Linked DNA regions of Arabidopsis thaliana. The protein of the gene in region 1 interacts with the protein of each later gene in a pairwise test. Each region holds a gene or a part of one and is shown on either strand. Other genes may lie near its edges.

Region 1 (4,377 bases):
CAACCAAAATATTGCATTATTTCGTTTCTCTTTCCTTCCGTGTGCTGCGTGCTTGTCTCTGCAATTCAGACTTAAGCTTCTCTAACACAGGTGCGGTTGCCTTCTATGGATGGAAGATTTGCCTTAGTTCCATGGGCAGATATGCTTAATCATAATTGTGAGGTACTTCTACTTATCTTTATGACCAATTAGCTCCTAGATTCTCCTAATCAGAAAGCATGATTGACTTATGGTAATCAATATTTCAAAATCTGCTTGGAAAGGTTGAGACGTTCCTGGATTATGATAAATCTTCAAAAGGAGTTGTCTTTACAACAGATCGACCATATCAACCAGGTGAGCAGGTAAATAAGATAAATTCATTCAGATAACCTGAGCGAGCATTGAAGTTTAATATAAGTCAGTGTATAACACAAAGAAGTCCCGTTTACACAGTTTGCCTTTTAGCGCTTCAGTAAGTCAGTCCAAAGTGGAACCAATGTTGTCTGAAGTCTCTGATATGTTTCAGTAACATGACATTGTGCAGGTTTTCATATCCTATGGGAATAAATCTAACGGAGAGCTATTGTTATCTTATGGGTTTGTTCCCAGAGAAGGAACCAATCCTAGTGATTCAGTAGAACTAGCATTATCACTTAGGAAAAACGATAAGTGTTACGAGGAAAAGCTGGATGCTTTAAAGAAACACGGATTATCGACGTATTCCATTCTCCACCATCCATGTTCCCCTCTCAAATTTGTAGATCTCTCTTGATTAACTTGAGTTTTGTTTTGATTGTTTGTGTTAACTTTTCTCTGGCAGACCTCAATGCTTTCCCGTAAGGATAACGGGTTGGCCAATGGAGCTAATGGCATATGCTTATCTTGTGGTGAGCCCTCCAGATATGAGAAACAACTTTGAAGAGGTTTGGCAACTCCATCTTGACCCTTTTTACCATCCAATTCTTCCCAAATTCATAATACATCTCTTATCAATTATTATCCATTTCAGATGGCGAAAGCTGCTTCAAATAAGACATCAACAAAGAATGATCTAAAATATCCTGAAATCGAGGAAGACGCATTGCAGTTCATACTGGACTCATGCGAAACAAGCATATCAAAGTACAGCCGATTTCTAAAGGTAAGTAACAAAACAGCTCATCTCTCTCTCTTTGTGGGAAAATTTTCACTCCATCTGCTTATAGTTTGCTTTGTCAATTATCTAATTGTAGGAAAGTGGATCAATGGATTTGGACATAACATCTCCAAAACAGTTGAACCGAAAAGCGTTTCTGAAACAGCTAGCTGTAGACTTGTCCACTAGTGAGCGCAGGATACTGTACCGTGCTCAATACGTAAGGAACAACTTTCTAGCCAATACGATAGATAAGAGTCTGTGGATCGATCCATGATATTGTGGAATCTGTGTTTTTTTTTTTGTTTTGTTTGGGTCAGATTCTGAGGAGGAGACTGAGAGATATCAGAAGTGGTGAGCTGAAGGCTCTACGGCTCTTCAGTGGACTTAGGAACTTCTTCAAGTGAATGTTGAATGAGGACATTTCAACAGCTTTAAGATGGATCAAAGGTAGGCCTCGTTGTGCTTCAACCAAAAATGTAGTTTTTTATTACAAAAAAATTGAACGTTGGTGTAGGCATGGTTGGATCTGTCTCACTCGTATAGGAATATATTGGTCCAGCCATATATGTAATTTGATCATTTTCTATAAACTCAAAACCTGAACCTAAATTGATTAATTAAGGAAACGCATGAGAGAGTAAGGGTAGAAACATGTTCTTCGTATTTGATCCGAATCGAACTGAAATAATCGATCCAACAAACAAAGATAATTTGAAAATTAAGAATATATCTGACTACAACTCATAACGAAAACCGTACCAAAACTCACACTCCTTGTTACCGCAAACAAGATAATCTGATGGTACACGTCAGAACATTTGTTTCTTTAGCAAAGCAAGTAAACATTCCACTGTGGCAAAGTAAAAAACGAGAAACCTATAAAGTCTTCCTAATGAAACGTACTGATTTTATGGAGTTTCCATTTTCGACATAATATGACGTGGCAATATCTAAATGGTTTAAAGATGTTTTATCTCCAATGATATAACGCCACGTAAGCCCGCTGACCAAATAACCCAAAGAGTAAGCAAGCGACGTCGTTTATAGTTTGATGATCTTGTCGGGTAACGAAACTGCCCCTTGAGTCAAAACAGGCTTCTTCGTGTCCGATTCTGAACGAGCTCGCTCTTTCTCATCCAATTCTCTCCACCGTCTTCTACTCCGATCAATCTTCAAATTTTCTTAACACTCATCGACCAGATCGAGTTTCCATCGATCTAATCAATCAATCATCAGATTTGATCTTCTCAAGAAGGTAAATCCCTCTCACTCTCTGTGTCAAACCTAATCACCTCGTAGGAATCGAAATTGGAACAATTCAATTTGGTTTGGTTTGGAATCTCTAGTCGATTCTTCTTCTAAACGATTGAATTGCGTTTTGTGCTTTGATATAATTCGAAATTATTGTGGCAGATGAGCTTGAAGGGTACGATCGTATTACTAGGGCTCTTATGGAGCTTCCAGGCTACGTTAGGGATTAGATTCGTGATAGACCGTGAAGAATGTTTCTCCCACAAGGCTGAATATGAAGGTGATACGCTTCATGTCTCTTTCGTCGTCATCAAGTCTGACTCTCAATGGCATTTTAACGAGGATGGTGTAGATCTTGTGGTATGACTTTTTTTCTTCTAATTGAACTTTTCTACATTCTACATTGCAAAATCGTCGAAAATCAATAGAATTGGTATTCCTAAACAATGCTTAGGATTTCCATTGTTAATGTTGGTAGATAATTTGAAGTATGTATTGATAAAGAATTTGGTTACTCTTTAAAGCTGTTATATTGTACCATCTGGTTAATTTGGTGGTTGTTGTTGTTGTTGATATATTTTGGATGCATTTTGAATAGATACATGGCCCAACAGGCGAACAAATTCATGACTTCAGGGAGCAGATAAGCGCAAAGCATGATTTTGTTGTCCAAAAAAAAGGGGTTTACAGATTCTGTTTCACAAACAAGTCTCCTTATCATGAAACCATTGACTTCGATGTACAGCTTGGTCACTTTGCATACTACGATCAACACGCAAAGGACGGTAAGGATTATCTGTTTAGTTTTGTTTCAGTTTCGTTTGGTGATGAGGTATTTAGCTGAAGATGGTTTTTGTGCAGAGCATTTCACTCCCTTGATGGAGCAAATATCAAAGTTAGAGGAGGCTCTTTACAACATCCAATTTGAACAACATTGGTTAGAAGCTCAGACCGATCGTCAAGCTATCGGTAACATTTTTTCCTCTAAAAACCACATTTGTTGTTCTCACTTCAATATTGAGTGATGGTTTGAATATGGTTGTTCCTTGTGCAGTGAACGAGAACATGAGCAAAAGAGCAGTACACAAAGCTTTGTTCGAGTCGTTTGCACTGATTGGGGCAAGTTTTCTCCAAGTTTATCTTCTGCGTCGCTTGTTTGAACGCAAACTCGGCATGTCTCGTGTCTAAAAGTATCGAGTTTATTATGACTTTGAACTTATTTTGCCTTAAAATGTACCAGGGAATCTTTACTTAAAACCTTTTTACAGACAGATCGTAGTTCATTGGAAGATTTGCTTTCTCCCATGTTCAAGAACTAATCCTCTCGTGATGATAATTCTTTTTTTTCTCTTTATTAACAGACAACTTTTCCACAAGCTAGGTTTTCATTTCAATAGAGAAAATAGTGATTCCTTAAAACCTTTTTTCCCTAAAACAAAGAGAATAACAATGTGATCAAGCTTTGAATAAGACGTGTCAAAAGTACTCAAAATCCCTTAACTGGATTCGAACTCTTATAGAGAAGGTTATAAAAGTGGACACTAGACTAAGTTAGTTGGGCCCAGAGTAGATAGATAAAGCCAGCTATCATTTTCTTAGTCGTCGTACAAGTTACCTGAAAATAAAATAAAAACACAAACTTTCCTGAAAAAGTCGTCTCCAGTTTTAAGCATTGATAAATCCGACAAGAAGTCCGATTTTGTTCCATAGCTTGCTTGTGTTTTTAGTGGATTGAGTCACTGAAAGAGAAATCATAAGGCTTTGTTGATGATGGATCATTTGGTGGAGACGAATTCAGTTCCGAGCAGATTGGTGGAAGAAAGGCTTGATGAGATTCGTAGAGTAATGGGTAAAGCTGATGACGACCCGTTAAGGATCGTTGGTGTAGGAGCTGGTGCTTGGGGAAGCGTTTTCATTGCAATGTTGCAGGAAAATTACGGTAAGTTTAGGGGCAAAGTTAGTGTGAGAATCTGGAGAAGAGGAGGCAGAGCAATCGATAAAGCCAC
Region 2 (5,012 bases), on another chromosome or scaffold:
CGGCTCCAGACTACACTGTCATATCCTCGAGTCGCAATGAACGGCATCTGAGGACTGTCTTCATAGTTAGTAGGGCTTCTCATCCAAGTAGAGACTTCTCTGTTTATCCTCTCTATGCCGTATGCAACTGTGCAAGGACATTATAAGCATATGATATATCAAATCCAAAAGATCACCGAGAGGAAATGTTGAGATAGATTTGACTGTCCTTACCATGGTGAGGAAGGAGACCACCGTGGCAGAAGAGCCAGTTATTAACACGGAGAATAACTCCGTGACGCGACAATTCACATGCTAAACGACCACCTGGTCTGAGAAGGACCGACCTTGCAATTACTCCCTTTTGCCTCTGTCCTAATGGTTTTCCCACCGACTTTTGGTTAACCAACGAATACAAAAACTAAGAAAACTCAGAGAGGACAAGGCAAAATGAAGTACCTTTACTACATTCCATTGATCCCAATAGGTTTGAGAACTCCTCCTATCTTCTTTCCATTGTCTTGACTCAAAAATCCAATTCCTAAACGCTTTGTCCCAGTCTTGTGCATAGTCCTCCAAGTAGTCAAGAAAATCAGTACACTCATCAAATGCTCTCGCATCTACATATCTGAAATCCCCTTCAACATTCATTGTCTCGTGGTTCCCATTAACCTTTAAAATGTGACAAGAAGTTACTCTTTGTTAGTCCTATCAATTATCATCATTCTAGAACTAGCAAATTAAAATGTGTAGAGTGCAAAAGCTTCTCTGTGTAAAATTTACTTATGAAATTCAAGTATGATAGCAATCAAAAACCTGGAAAACAGCTCCACCATTAGCCTTGGCCTGATCATCAAGTGACCTCAATAAGGAGAGTATTGCGATTTCATCATCACCGCGATCAAGTATATCTCCTACCTGAACTAGTACCTGTATTTTCATTATGATTTCACAACTCATAAGCATTTAACTCAAAAGAATCAGTCATCATAATGAACCTCAAGATGCGTAATGTTGAACTCTAGCAGATACTGTCAATAATATCATCAAGCAAACCATTTAACACGATACTGAACCACTAAGAGATAATGTACATACGGTGTCTTGGCCGACCCACTGGTCTCGTCCGTCGGAGCTCAAGACGCCAGCCAACTGAAGTGCGTCTCTGGCTTTACCCAGATCGCCATGAAGGTCTCCAACTGTGAGTGCATATCCAAAACCAAAACCTACTCAATTTTGTTGTCAAATTATCAAAAAGATTGAAACTTTTCAGATTAATGGTGGCGAACCTGCAACGATACGACGAGCAGGAGCAGAGACGAAAGTGGGTGGATCTCCATTGATGACAATCGGCTTCAGAGCAAGTTCGTTACCATTAGAAGTGCTCAACAAAGAGGAAGAAGAAGGTTCTAAAAGTTTCTGGGGGTGAGAAGGAGGAAGTGGAAGTAAGGAATTGAGGTAAAGGGAAGCCATTGGTATTGGTGGTGGAGAAGCAATGATCCACCAGAGCTTTGATGAAATCACTTAACATTTGTGTTCGTCTGGTCTATAATTTGTGTGACTTGTCTCCAATTGCATGCTCAGTAATCAAATCCCTTTTATCTATCTACTGGCTGAGGTTTTTCCTCTCAATTTTTGGTTTTTCTGTTTTTAATAAAATAAAAGATAACCACAAAGACAAAAATTGGGCCTCTCAACCTTATCAAACTTATCGATCCCAAAAATGAATAATATGTCCATTGGGCCATCTAAAGCCCAAGTGTACTGGACGCCGAAAATTCAACGTAACGAAGTCATCGGCCCATAACCAATTTCCATGATGACCAAACGCACAACGCGGTTGTTAAATTGCGTTCACGTTCTGTAAACATCAAACCAGACAGAACCAAAAGAGAAAAATCGAAACGAAGACAAAGTCGTGGTCGTGGCACTAAGAAATTACAGATTCCATTAAAATACAAACAGAAGCACACAACTAAGTCAGACATGGTTCCCGCGTTTAATCTCCGAAGACTTTGTCAATATTATAGTCTTCGTCTATGGATTTTCGTCTTTATTCTCCCAATTCCACCAATTCCGTAATTTCCCCGAACATTATTAATTCCCATCCAATCATATGGCTGAAGCCGGTGACGAGAATCTTTACGCCGCCGCCAGAGACATCGCCAGAGCTCTCGGCAAGGATCCAAGTGCCGCCGGAGATATCTTACAGATTCTCTCCGGTTATGGCGCTTCCGGAAACCGCGGCGGAGATCCTCGACCCACCCCATCCCGCGGCGGCTCAAACGTCAACTTTGACCGAGCCCTCACCTCTTTAGAGAGACAGATCTCCAGCTACATCGTGGAAGATCGACCGATCTGGTCTGATCCCGTTGACTCGCGCACCTTCCTCGACTCTGTTGATGAGCTACTTGCGATTGCCGGAGACTTGAGATCCATGGCCGGAGATAAATCCGTCGCCGTCTGTCAATCCCGTGCCGATGAGCTGATTCAACAGGTGATGTTTAGGCTTCAAGAAGAGTTTGGATTTGTAATGGACCGAGCCCCTGACTCGTTTGACTCGGACGATGAGTTCCCCGGCGAAGAAGACAACGACACAAGCGACGGGGTAATTAATTCATCTGTAAATTTATTACTAAATTAGTTTTGGAATTAGAATTAGAAAATTCGGTTTACTATCGGTTATATTGTGGTTAAGTGATTCACAATTGAATAGGTAATCGTTGCTCGTCCAATCACTGATTACAAAATCGTGATCGAGGCGTTACAATCTAGCGTTATTGGCGATCTAAACGCGATCGCTGTGCGCATGGTCGCTGGTGGATTTGCAAAAGAGTGTTCAAGAGTGTACAGCAGTCGACGAAGAGAGTTTCTAGAGGAGAGTTTGTCGAGGTTACATCTCAGAGGACTAAGTATGGAGGAAGTGCAAGAGAGTCCATGGCAAGATCTTGAAGACGAAATCGACCGTTGGATTAAAGCCGTAACGCTGATATTCCACGTTTTCTTCCCGAGCGAGCGTCTTCTCTGCGATCGCGTTTTCTCTGATCTTCCTGTTTCCTCTGTAACCGATCTTTCTTTCATGGAAGTTTGTCGCGGAACCACAACACAGCTTCTGAATTTCGCAGACGCGATCGCTTTAGGAAGCCGTTTACCTGAACGTTTGTTTAAGGTTGTGGATTTATACGAAGCGATGCAAGACCTTATTCCTAAGATGGAAACGCTATTTTCTGATCGATATTGTTCGCCGCTAAGGCATGAGGCGCTCGCGATTCATAAACGGTTAGGAGAAGCGATTAGAGGGATATTTATGGAGCTGGAGAATTTAATCCGACGTGACCCTCCCAAAACAGCGTTTCCTGGCGGTGGGATTCACCCGATCACGCGGTACGTGATGAATTATCTGCGTGCGGCGTGTAAATCGCGGCAATCGTTGGAGCAGATACTTGACCAGACAGGAAATGAAACCGGATCAGATACGAGACCGTTGTCTGTGCAAATCATATGGGTTTTGGAGTTGTTGGAGAGTAACTTGGAAGGCAAGAAAAGAACTTATCGTGATCCGTCTTTGTGTTTCTTGTTCATGATGAACAATGACAAGTATATTCTTGATAAGGCTAAGGATAACGAGCTAGGTTTAGTCCTAGGAGAAGATTGGATTGTGAAGCACGCAGCGAAACTGAGGCAATACCATTCTAATTACCGAAGGAGCTCATGGAACCAAGTGGTGGGATTGCTTAGGACCGATGGTCCGTATCCCAAGTTAGTAGAGAACCTAAGATTGTTCAAATCACAGTTCGATGAGGTGTGTAAGGTGCAATCTCAATGGGTTGTTAGTGATGGGCAATTGAGGGAGGAGTTAAGAAGCTCTGTTGCCGGAATTGTATCTCCGGCGTACTCGAATTTCATCAGAAGATTGAAGGAGTCACCGGAGATTAATGGGAGGCGTGGAGAGCCGTTTATTCCGTATACTGTTGAAGATGTGGAGTTTATAATCAAACGGTTGTTCAAGGAAAGCTCAAGTTGATTAAATTAGATATGAAAAGAAATTAAAAAATTCTTATTAATTGAATTTTTTTGTAAAATTGTGAATCATTCTGTGTTTTTTTATCTTTCTTGGGTGAATAATGTTCATGGATCGGTGGAATCACCTTTTCGACATTGATTTGTTCATGTATTGCTTTTTTGATGTAAGAAATTTCCTTAAGGTTAAAATATAATTCGTTTGGGTTTCAAAACGGACTTACGAGCATTGTGCTATAGAGTTACAACTTACCAGGATAGAGTAGTATAATATCATAATAGTATACATGTAAAACCTAGCTTAAGCAAATACGAAAGATTATGTGAACCCACAGGGAAATAATTATAGATTGACTACAGATTAATTAATATATATGAAAGCAAAATGAAAATCAAGAGAGTACGTGGAAAATTTGTTCAACAAGACTGAGACTGATGACTATGTAAGCAATTTGGGAAGGATGAATATCGTCCCAGAAAAGGTACTGGTTAGGGTTAGGACAAATCCGAGTTAAAGCATTGCACAAGTACGCTAACTCTATTTCTCCAGTCCCGCAACATCCTCTCGTCGTCTCCTTTAACCCTGTCCCATTCAAAGGAATAACATTGATAACTACTTAGCTTTGTAATAAAATGAAATATTTTATAGTCTTGAATGTTCTCTTATAACAAACTATAATTTCAAAACCTGTAAAAAAAATTATCAGTAAAAATCCTGTAAAATACATGCACTTCACACGTATGTGATATATACTAATATGAGAGAATTGTGCGGAGAAAATTGGATTATGCTTTGGGTTTGATTGATTTCTTTTTTCTTATTTTGCATTTATGCAATATCTTTTTTAAATGATCCAATATAACAACCTCAAATATATTTTTTCCAAATACAATATAATCTAGAAAGAGATGCAATTGATCAAAACTCAAGGAAAACTAGATTTAGTGCGAAACGTTATTTGCATGGGAGTAAAGGAAACGTAACGTTACCGTATCTTTGAGGATTAGTGGCC
Region 3 (4,435 bases), on another chromosome or scaffold:
AAATCAATACTACTAGTTAGTTAGTAATTTACATGTTTTGTTTCTTAATCTGTAATGGACCGGGATAGAAATGGGCCATGTATTTGGACCCGAATAAGTTTCTCAAAATATTGAATTAACTAGTTAAAGACTTACGGTATGGGCTATATATAAAGTATAAACGAATAATAAACTTTTCCGATCCGAAATCATACTTATTTCTTATCATCCTTCTGAATAAATGTTTCAGTAAAGTTGCAACTGATTATATGTAAAGAACAAAATGATTCGACGTAAGAATATATGTTGAATGCTAAATTCCTAATACCATATTCCATTTCACATTCTTTTCATTCTTTAATGTAGTCTCATTAACTATTTCAAGAATATGATCATTTCTGTTAAATAAAAAATTATAGCTAAAGTGATTCGCATAAAAAGGGAAGTAGCACTTTACAAGGTAAAATTAGCCGTATGGGTCGAATATGGTTCGGGTATAGGATGGAGTACCAAATTATTCATTTGAGTAATATTTAATTATCCAACTTATTCGAATCTTCAATCTTGTAGGTGATACTAAGTCGAATTGATGAGAAGTTAGATAGTGAATTAGATGTTCGGACCGACCCATTATCCGAATTTTTTCTTATCTCATATTTTATTGGATTATCGATTCCAATTCTCAAAGTGGACAAACCTAAATTTTGTTATCTGCTTTTTTCTTCTTAAGGTTCTGTCCAACTACCACTTTTTATCCCTAATTCCGGAATAGTGAAAATCCCCAAATCTTTATCATCTCATGAAAATTTACCAATCGTGCCTTTTATTTTTGTTCTGGGGTCCTCTTCCTTTTTAAGAAGCAACAAAAATAAAAGTTGAAATATCTCCAATCATCCTATAAAAAGTTGGTATTTTATATTCATAATATTTTCATTAGAAAATGATGCATTATGCAATTATTTGTTGCTTTTTGGAAAGAAAAATAGAAAGCCAAGGTCACGTATCTTTTTCAAACACATTTTTTCTTTTGTCTATGCTATTTGTGTGTTCAACTATCTCTTAGTTTTTTAGGATACTTAATTCTAATTTTATTATATTCTATTTCTGTCAGTATTAGCTAGTGAGAAGAAAATTCTGATTATATTATGATTTACCAACTGCCTATTTACTATTATAAGCAAGCTTTGTTTTCCACCATTGTTTTATTTTTCTTACAGAAAGACTATATAACTTCGTTTACAAAAAAATTACTTAAGTGAAATCCTAAATATGATGAGGGTGGAAGTTATTTATGTTAAATGCAATAACACACTTCCCCTTTAGACAAAAGGAAAAAAAGAAGAAGAGATTAAGGTCCCATTGAGGTGTTTGAAAACCCTTTAGACTTGTTATCGAAAAATGGCAACCACACACAAATTTGGTATATTGAATGATGTCAAACTTTTCTTGCATGAAAGTTTATCGTTTGCTTTCCCCTATTTCGCTCCTCAACCAAATATCCGATGTTTTACACGAAAGCTTATGTGCATACTCTGGTTCTCTGTAACGAAAGTCCATTTTATATTTAAATAGTTTTTTACAAGCATTTTTTTCCAATGTTAAATTTTGTAATATCAACTTTTTTTAATTTAATATTAGCTTAGTTTCAGAAAAAAAAATATGTAAGAATTTTAGCCAAAAAAGATAAGAAAATAATATTAATGTAAAAATATATATTCGTTAATTGCACATTTTCAAAAATAAAATAAAATTACTGTATTAAAAGTGGGAAATGGGAATGATATGGATTCATCATCACTAATGCACTTAAGGGTATAGAAACCCACCAACTTGTTAATCCTCTGCTTTTATTGGCCGTTACAAAAGCTTCCTCGAGAAAATTGATTCAACATTTATATTATTTAGCTCATCACTCTCTCACGGAACTCATGCTTTTAATCTACCTACTTATAAAATCCTCCACGCAAACAACAAAACCATTTTCCACTTACAATTTTTTTTGTCATCTTTATCAACAAACAAACAACTATCTCTGCAAATTTGGCTGAAACCTCTTAAAAGTTCTTTGCTCTGTTCCAAATTATCCATATTTTCTACTAACAATAATGTCAGAAACATCAAAGTCAGAGTCTTTAGATCCAGAAGTCTCTGAAGGGCTTTGTTCAAAGACCTTGATGCAGAGCATTGTTCATGAGCTGAAGCTGCAGATGAGAATTGGTTTGCCATTGGTGGTTATGAATTTGTTGTGGTTCGGTAAGATGACCACCACATCTGTGTTTCTTGGCCGTCAAGGTGAGCTTAACCTAGCCGGAGGTTCATTAGGGTTTTCCTTTGCAAACGTTACTGGCTTTTCTGTTTTGTATGGTATTTCTGCTGCAATGGAGCCTATTTGTGGCCAAGCTTTCGGAGCCAAGAACTTTAAGCTTCTTCATAAAACCCTTTTTATGGCAGTGCTCTTGCTACTCTTGATTTCGGTACCAATTTCTTTCTTGTGGCTCAATGTTCACAAGATCCTTACTGGTTTTGGTCAAAGAGAAGATATTTCCTTCATAGCCAAGAAATATCTTCTCTACCTTCTTCCAGAGTTGCCAATCCTCTCTTTTCTTTGTCCACTTAAGGCTTATTTAAGCTCACAAGGTGTTACTCTTCCCATCATGTTCACAACAGCTGCAGCCACTTCTCTTCATATCCCCATCAACATAGTCCTCTCTAAAGCAAGAGGAATTGAAGGAGTTGCAATGGCGGTTTGGATAACTGATTTTATTGTTGTGATTCTTCTAACTGGATATGTGATAGTCGTAGAGCGAATGAAAGAGAACAAATGGAAACAAGGTGGCTGGTTAAACCAAAGTGCTCAAGACTGGCTCACACTGATCAAGCTTAGTGGACCATGTTGTCTCACCGTGTGCCTTGAATGGTGGTGCTACGAGATCTTGGTCCTTTTAACCGGGAGGTTACCAAACCCGGTGCAAGCTGTATCAATCTTGATTATAGTTTTCAACTTCGACTACTTGCTTTACGCGGTGATGCTCTCTTTAGGCACGTGTGTGGCAACAAGAGTGTCCAATGAGCTCGGCGCAAATAATCCTAAGGGAGCTTATAGAGCAGCTTACACTACACTCATTGTGGGTATTATTTCAGGCTGCATTGGAGCATTAGTGATGATAGCATTTAGAGGTTTTTGGGGGTCTTTGTATACTCACCATGACCAACTCATCTTAAACGGTGTGAAGAAGATGATGCTGATAATGGCGGTTATCGAAGTTGTAAACTTCCCATTAATGGTTTGTGGAGAGATAGTCCGCGGAACAGCGAAACCGTCTCTTGGAATGTATGCAAATCTTAGTGGATTCTATCTATTGGCTTTGCCTTTAGGGGCAACTTTGGCGTTCAAGGCTAAACAAGGGCTTCAAGGGTTCTTGATCGGGTTATTTGTTGGTATATCTCTCTGTCTCTCGATATTGCTCATCTTTATTGCGAGGATAGATTGGGAGAAAGAAGCTGGGAAAGCACAGATTCTGACATGTAACACAGAGGACGAACAAACTTCACAAGGTTCAGGACAAGATAGCCACTCATAGAAAGTACTCACTGAGGTATCTTCTAGCTAGAGATGTAGTCAAATTTACCTTGTGAGAGTATTTATCTTCTTGATGTAACTGTAACTATGAATTGAGGATCCAAACTTTGTATTATTGTGTATAAAAGAAAACGCCCACCATGTAACTCGAACCAATGACCACAAGTCCACAAAGTTAAGAGCCTTGCGCTCTACCAACTGAGCTAGACGATGTCGTTGCGTAGGTAATTGAGATTTGAAGAGGCCCATTATTTTACATGTGTAAGTTACACAAAACCTTACCGGGCCTTAACGAATTAACTTTTGATATTTGAAATTATTGGCAAAGTATTTCAAAAAATGTTTTAGTTGATTGTTCTATATACCAAACGAAAATAAATATCTTAACCAATACAGCAAAATTATTGGAGTACAACCATTTTGTTCTTGGTGTTTTGGTAGACAAAGAACCTAAAAACATTGATTGTGTCTTGTGAGTGCCATGTGAATCGGAAACACATATCCGAGGAGAAGTGTGGGGCACTCAAATCTCCACTTAGGGTTAAAGCTTGACATTAATTAAGGTTGATTTGTATTTAATTTTCTTTGATAAATTTTGTGTTTTTTTTTTTCCGGGAATTTAATTGGTGAAATTACTTAGTCTTAAACGTACGACCACGTTTATCGTTTTTTAGATACGCACTCGGTTTGGAATTATTTTATGTTTTGTCAACGTTTATTAATTATTTATAGCGTTGAGTTTTTTTGTTAAGACTGTCATGCACTATTATTATGCGATATGTCAAAAGCCGGTTTTTGAATTAGACTCTTTCTTGTGATGAACATTCGTCGCATATATTATCAATCGGATAATTAGCTTTCTTTGGAGGCCGATTC
Region 4 (5,237 bases), on another chromosome or scaffold:
AGAACCCTATGCAAGATACTTATGGAAGTATACATGGGAAGAAATAGAAGAAGATATAGATAGAGGGAAAAAAGAACCGAACTTTAGATCTGGCCACAATCGTTATTTTCTATGCAATTGAAGTATAAAGGGGAAGAAATAGAAGAAGATCGGCGATAAATAAACGAAAATGAATGGAACGTAAGACGTTCAAAATCCTCGATATCGCCGAATCTGCAGTCATGGAACGTAAGACGTTCAAAATTTGGGTTAGTATAGTATAAAAGAGAACAGATCAAAAGACAATATTTACAAACCTCAAGTGTTTTTCAAACAAAACCCACAGCGTCAGCCACAAAAGCCTCCGATATCGCCTAATCTTCTTTCGTGAATAGTAAGAGACAAAAAATGGGTTAGTTGCATGTAAGAAACACAGATAAAGGACGCAATATCTACAAACCTCGTGGGTTATTCAAACAAAGCACATCAATATTTACAAACCTCATGTGTTTTCCAAAAAAGCACAGAAGGATTCCCAAAAAAAAAACAGAGACTTTAGCCGCAAACTCTCGATGGTCGCCTAACTTTCATTCATCAACAGTACACGAAACAAAATTAGGGTTAGTTAACAACGAACCGAACTTTAGATCTAGACACAAGCGATGATTGACATGCAATTAAAGGTATAGGGGAAGAGAAATAAGAAGAGCAACTGTAAATAATCGGAAATCAGTGGTTCTACTTACCCAAATCGTCGGCGAGGGAAGACCAAAAATTAATCCTTCGATTGTCACCGGCGACTGCAACGAGAAGACGATTTGAAAAGGATAATCGGAAACACAATCAATTTCTAGAAACAACTACTACTTGGATCGAAAAGATGAGAGCAACGACGATGAAATTAATCGCCGCCGAGAGAGGTTTTTTCGGTGAGAAAAATTTTTTTTTTTTTTTTTTTTTTTAATTTTAGGGTTATTACTTTGGTCGTGAGACAAACTTGGGCCGAATAATGCAATAGAATTCAAATTTCAAACCCAGAATCATACGCTCCCCAAACAGTGTCTTGTCGCTTTGATGTCTAAGGTTATACATGTAAAATTACATGTGTTTCCGACTTACCCCTGTAGCTCATGGCTATTCTCTTAATTTTTTTTGAATCCATGGCTATTTTATGTAGATACTCATTGAAATATGGTAAAAGAAGGTACAGTAGAAATACTAATTATGTTCATGCTTGAAAGTTGAAACACACAAAAAAAACGAATAACATGTTTTTATGATTTAAATAATGAGTGATGAAAACACACATGAAGGGATTGACAAAAATACTAGTCACTAAATATCCTCATGATACAAAAAAAAAAGAAAAAAAGAAAAATAGTCACTAAATATTCACTTAACTAAAAATCCTCATGATTTGTTCACTTTGGAAAATTCAGCAAAAAAATTTAGTAAGCTTATTGAATGTAAACCAGTAATTTCTGATGAGATTAAAACTGAGTTCTAGTTAAAAGACTTTCGGATGAGGAGGTTAAATTTTCATAATTTGCATCGCATCAAAAAAAAAAAAACATTTTATCAATGGTTGAGTTTCTGCTCATAAATTTTTGGAATGTGAGTAATACAATCATATCAACTATGCTATTCATGAAGCTCTAAAAAACTAATCATGAATCTTATATTGGAAACTCAATAAACTTTTGGTGTGGGATATTTAGTTTCACACATTGTGATCTATAAAAGAGAGGAAGAGATAGATCAAGCAATGGATCTAAAAATGTATAAAACACACACTTTATTCACTACCTTGTATTCAATTAACGTCATTAAAAAGCAAAGCTTTATTCAAATTTGTGACAATACAACTATGGCAACACTACACTAAATACATAATTTCAAAGCAAATTTATAACATAAAGTTTTTCTTCTTTTTTAGGCATTAATATAATAAAGTTGAATCTGGTACCAAAAAGTTACGAAAAAGAAACGCATTAATCTCTTTTTTAAAAAGCATCTGATTAAGTGCCTGCGTCTTCTTCTTCTTTTATCCCTCCAATTCAAAATTCAGGTACGTCGACGACACCACCACCACCACCGACAGAATATTCCGATTTAACCCTCACCGAATATTCCCTCTTCCTCCATGGAAAACGACGTCAAAGAGAATCTCGAAGAAGAGGAAGACCGTCTTCTTCCTCCTCCTCCTCCTTCACAATCTCTCCCATCCACCGATTCCGAATCCGAAGCGGCTTTCGAAACAAACGAAAAGATCCTAATCGTCGATTTCGAATCACCCGACGATCCAACAACCGGAGACACACCACCGCCATTCTCATGGCGGAAGCTCTGGTTATTCACCGGTCCAGGTTTCTTAATGAGTATAGCGTTTTTGGATCCAGGGAATCTAGAAGGAGATCTACAAGCTGGTGCAATCGCTGGCTATTCTCTGTTGTGGCTACTAATGTGGGCAACAGCTATGGGGTTGTTGATTCAGATGTTGTCAGCTAGAGTCGGTGTAGCTACTGGTCGTCATTTAGCTGAGCTTTGTCGTGATGAGTATCCTACTTGGGCTAGGTATGTGCTTTGGTCTATGGCGGAACTTGCTTTGATTGGTGCTGATATTCAAGAGGTTATTGGTAGTGCTATTGCTATTCAGATTCTTAGCCGTGGCTTCTTGCCTCTTTGGGCTGGTGTTGTTATTACTGCTTCCGATTGGTGAGTCCTTTCGATACTCTATTCGTTCTTTAGAGATGTTGGATTCGTAGAATTAGTAGAGACTTGGTTTGGAGAATCTTATGATTCATTCTGAAATTTTAAAACTTTGCGGATCATCTTAGCGGTATTGAGTTTGAGTATGGATCATTCGAACTCACAAATCAGTAGAAACTTGGTTTAGAGATTCATGATTCAATCTGAAGTTGAGAATTTGCTTTTACTTTGGCTGTTTTCTTGTAAAACTTTGCTAAGATGATCCAAACTCACAAATCAGTAGAGAATTGGTTTAACGATTTGTGATCGAATCTGAAATTAAGAAACTTGCTTTTTTGTATTTTGAAAACTTGGCTAATGAATTTGTTGCAAACAGTTTTTTATTTTTGTTTCTAGAGAATTACGGTGTGAGGAAGTTAGAAGCTGTTTTTGCAGTTTTGATCGCAACTATGGGTTTGTCCTTTGCTTGGATGTTTGGTGAAACAAAACCGAGTGGGAAAGAACTTATGATAGGTAAAGATTTCAGATTTTTACTCTTGAATTTCACTTTATTTGCTTTGATTTGAGTGCTTAAAAATCAAATCTTTGTGTTTATGGATAGGTATTTTACTACCGAGACTTAGCTCAAAGACAATTAGGCAAGCTGTAGGTGTTGTTGGCTGTGTTATAATGCCTCACAATGTGTTTTTGCATTCGGCTCTTGTACAATCGAGGAAAATCGATCCGAAGAGGAAATCCCGGGTTCAAGAAGCGCTTAATTACTATTTGATCGAGTCATCCGTCGCACTTTTCATCTCCTTCATGATTAACTTGTTTGTGACTACTGTCTTTGCAAAGGGGTTTTATGGAACTGAGAAAGCTAATAACATTGGCCTAGTTAATGCTGGTCAGTATCTTCAAGAAAAGTTTGGAGGCGGGCTTCTTCCGATTCTTTATATCTGGGGTATCGGGTTGTTAGCAGCCGGACAAAGCAGTACGATAACTGGTACATATGCTGGACAGTTTATAATGGGCGGTTTTCTGAATCTCCGGCTTAAGAAATGGATGAGGGCAGTAATAACAAGAAGCTGTGCTATTGTGCCTACAATGATTGTGGCAATCGTGTTCAATACTTCTGAAGCTTCCTTGGATGTTTTGAATGAATGGCTCAATGTCCTTCAGTCTGTACAAATTCCTTTTGCTCTTCTCCCTCTTCTAACCTTGGTATCCAAAGAAGAAATTATGGGAGACTTCAAGATTGGGCCTATTCTCCAGGTAAATTTCCACTTCTTTTACTACAAGTCTCCATAGGATACCACAATAGGTGAATTAGTGTTGAGTCTTATCGTTTTAGGTGTCTCGACTTTTTTAGTTTCACTGTTTGTGCAATTATCTTAGTAAACATGTAGAATTGAAAGTCCTTCAATGGAATAGAGAAGCATGAAGAGTGAGTATTTGTAAGTTGATTGGATTTATTGATTACATTGCAGAGAATAGCTTGGACTGTGGCTGCACTTGTAATGATCATCAATGGGTATCTTCTGTTGGATTTCTTTGTATCAGAAGTCGACGGGTTTCTGTTTGGAGTTACGGTCTGCGTCTGGACGACTGCTTATATCGCCTTTATAGTGTACCTCATTTCACACAGCAACTTTTTTCCTTCTCCTTGGTCATCCTCTTCCATAGAACTTCCCAAAAGAGTGTCCGTCTCCAATAGCTAGTAGCTGCACAAAAATAACTGCCCTCAAGACCATTTGTTACATGTCAAGAAGATACAGTAAACAAACTTCATCCACTATAGTCTTATACATATTGAAACGCCAAAGTGGTGATAAGAGTTAGCTTAGCTTTTTGTGAATGTTAACATCACAAATATGTAGTGGCAAAGTCTTTGTTGTACTTTTTTGTTTTTGTTAAGAGGATGTGCACATTCCAATATGATTTAAAGAGGCTTTTACATCATAGAAAAAAGCAGAAAACAAATCAATAAAAATCTAATAAACCATTGAAAAAATGGTCAAGCAAAAAAAAAAAAGTTTCTTAACTAGTGTTAGCAAAAATCATTGAACATACGCTAAAAGAGATAATACTCAATACTAATCTGCCATTCTAACAGATATATACAACCCAAAATTCAGGTAACTAACACTTCCAATACATAAGCTTCAAGCTTCTTTTACGCCATTCCTCTAATGGTAATATCTTCAAAGAAAGCAAGAGGTAGCTCCGGTGAAACAGGCATGGTCGCAACGCACTTGTACTGTACCAAGAGAATCAGATATTAGAATGTTCTTGTTGCAATATATCACAAGTTTAAAGTTACATCATTGAATTGTTGAATTTACCTTGTGTTGCTTGTACTTATTTCTAACAGCTTCTAGAGTGTTTCCTCTTCTGCTTAGATACAAGTCATGTATGATACCCACGCACACTTGTAGATCAGCTGCTTTGTACTTTGTGTATTCTTCTAGCATTTGATTCTGTTTGCATCACCAGAAGAGGATTTAGAATATAAAGAACTTTTTCTGTATAAGAACCTGTCATGGTTCTTAATTTGCTTACCCAAGGAT

What was found.
Region 2: the proteins of p24beta2 (region 1) and EXO70B2 interact in a protein complementation assay, tested with the Arabidopsis thaliana proteins (one large-scale study listed by BioGRID).
Region 3: the proteins of p24beta2 (region 1) and AT4G22790 interact in a protein complementation assay, tested with the Arabidopsis thaliana proteins (one large-scale study listed by BioGRID).
Region 4: the proteins of p24beta2 (region 1) and NRAMP2 interact in a protein complementation assay, tested with the Arabidopsis thaliana proteins (one large-scale study listed by BioGRID).

What each region holds. Positions count from the first base shown.
Region 1 is NC_003074.8:2,453,094-2,457,470, forward strand, and holds p24beta2 (emp24/gp25L/p24 family/GOLD family protein), read left to right. Parts: upstream 1-2,145; 5' UTR 2,146-2,375; intron 2,376-2,533; coding exon 2,534-2,731; intron 2,732-2,969; coding exon 2,970-3,156; intron 3,157-3,232; coding exon 3,233-3,340; intron 3,341-3,425; coding exon 3,426-3,559; 3' UTR 3,560-3,825; downstream 3,826-4,377. Other genes in the region: AT3G07670 (Rubisco methyltransferase family protein), read left to right, coding at 91-162, 264-344, 527-699, 803-905, 992-1,123, 1,215-1,337, 1,438-1,524; AT3G07690 (6-phosphogluconate dehydrogenase family protein), read left to right, coding at 4,139-4,377. UniProt on the Arabidopsis thaliana protein: Involved in vesicular protein trafficking. Mainly functions in the early secretory pathway but also in post-Golgi membranes.
Region 2 is NC_003070.9:2,149,389-2,154,400, reverse strand, and holds EXO70B2 (exocyst subunit exo70 family protein B2), read left to right. Parts: upstream 1-1,859; 5' UTR 1,860-2,095; coding exon 2,096-2,587; intron 2,588-2,695; coding exon 2,696-4,003; 3' UTR 4,004-4,243; downstream 4,244-5,012. Other genes in the region: SLP1 (Calcineurin-like metallo-phosphoesterase superfamily protein), read right to left, coding at 1-127, 214-349, 439-651, 796-897, 978-1,010, 1,093-1,205, 1,269-1,452; AT1G06990 (GDSL-like Lipase/Acylhydrolase superfamily protein), read right to left, coding at 4,392-4,582, 4,990-5,012. UniProt on the Arabidopsis thaliana protein: Component of an exocyst subcomplex specifically involved in autophagy-related, Golgi-independent membrane traffic to the vacuole. Regulates autophagosome formation and autophagy-related Golgi-independent import into the vacuole.
Region 3 is NC_003075.7:11,974,278-11,978,712, reverse strand, and holds AT4G22790 (MATE efflux family protein), read left to right. Parts: upstream 1-1,964; 5' UTR 1,965-2,084; coding exon 2,085-3,560; 3' UTR 3,561-3,682; downstream 3,683-4,435. UniProt on the Arabidopsis thaliana protein: Could function as a HCO(3)(-) -sensing component in the CO(2) signaling pathway in guard cells. Acts as an upstream repressor of HT1. Plays a role in stomatal response to CO(2).
Region 4 is NC_003070.9:17,308,194-17,313,430, reverse strand, and holds NRAMP2 (NRAMP metal ion transporter 2), read left to right. Parts: upstream 1-1,925; 5' UTR 1,926-2,122; coding exon 2,123-2,694; intron 2,695-3,064; coding exon 3,065-3,201; intron 3,202-3,289; coding exon 3,290-3,942; intron 3,943-4,157; coding exon 4,158-4,388; 3' UTR 4,389-4,628; downstream 4,629-5,237. Other genes in the region: CYCA3;4 (CYCLIN A3;4), read right to left, coding at 4,844-4,927, 5,013-5,147, 5,230-5,237. UniProt on the Arabidopsis thaliana protein: Seems to be involved in iron uptake.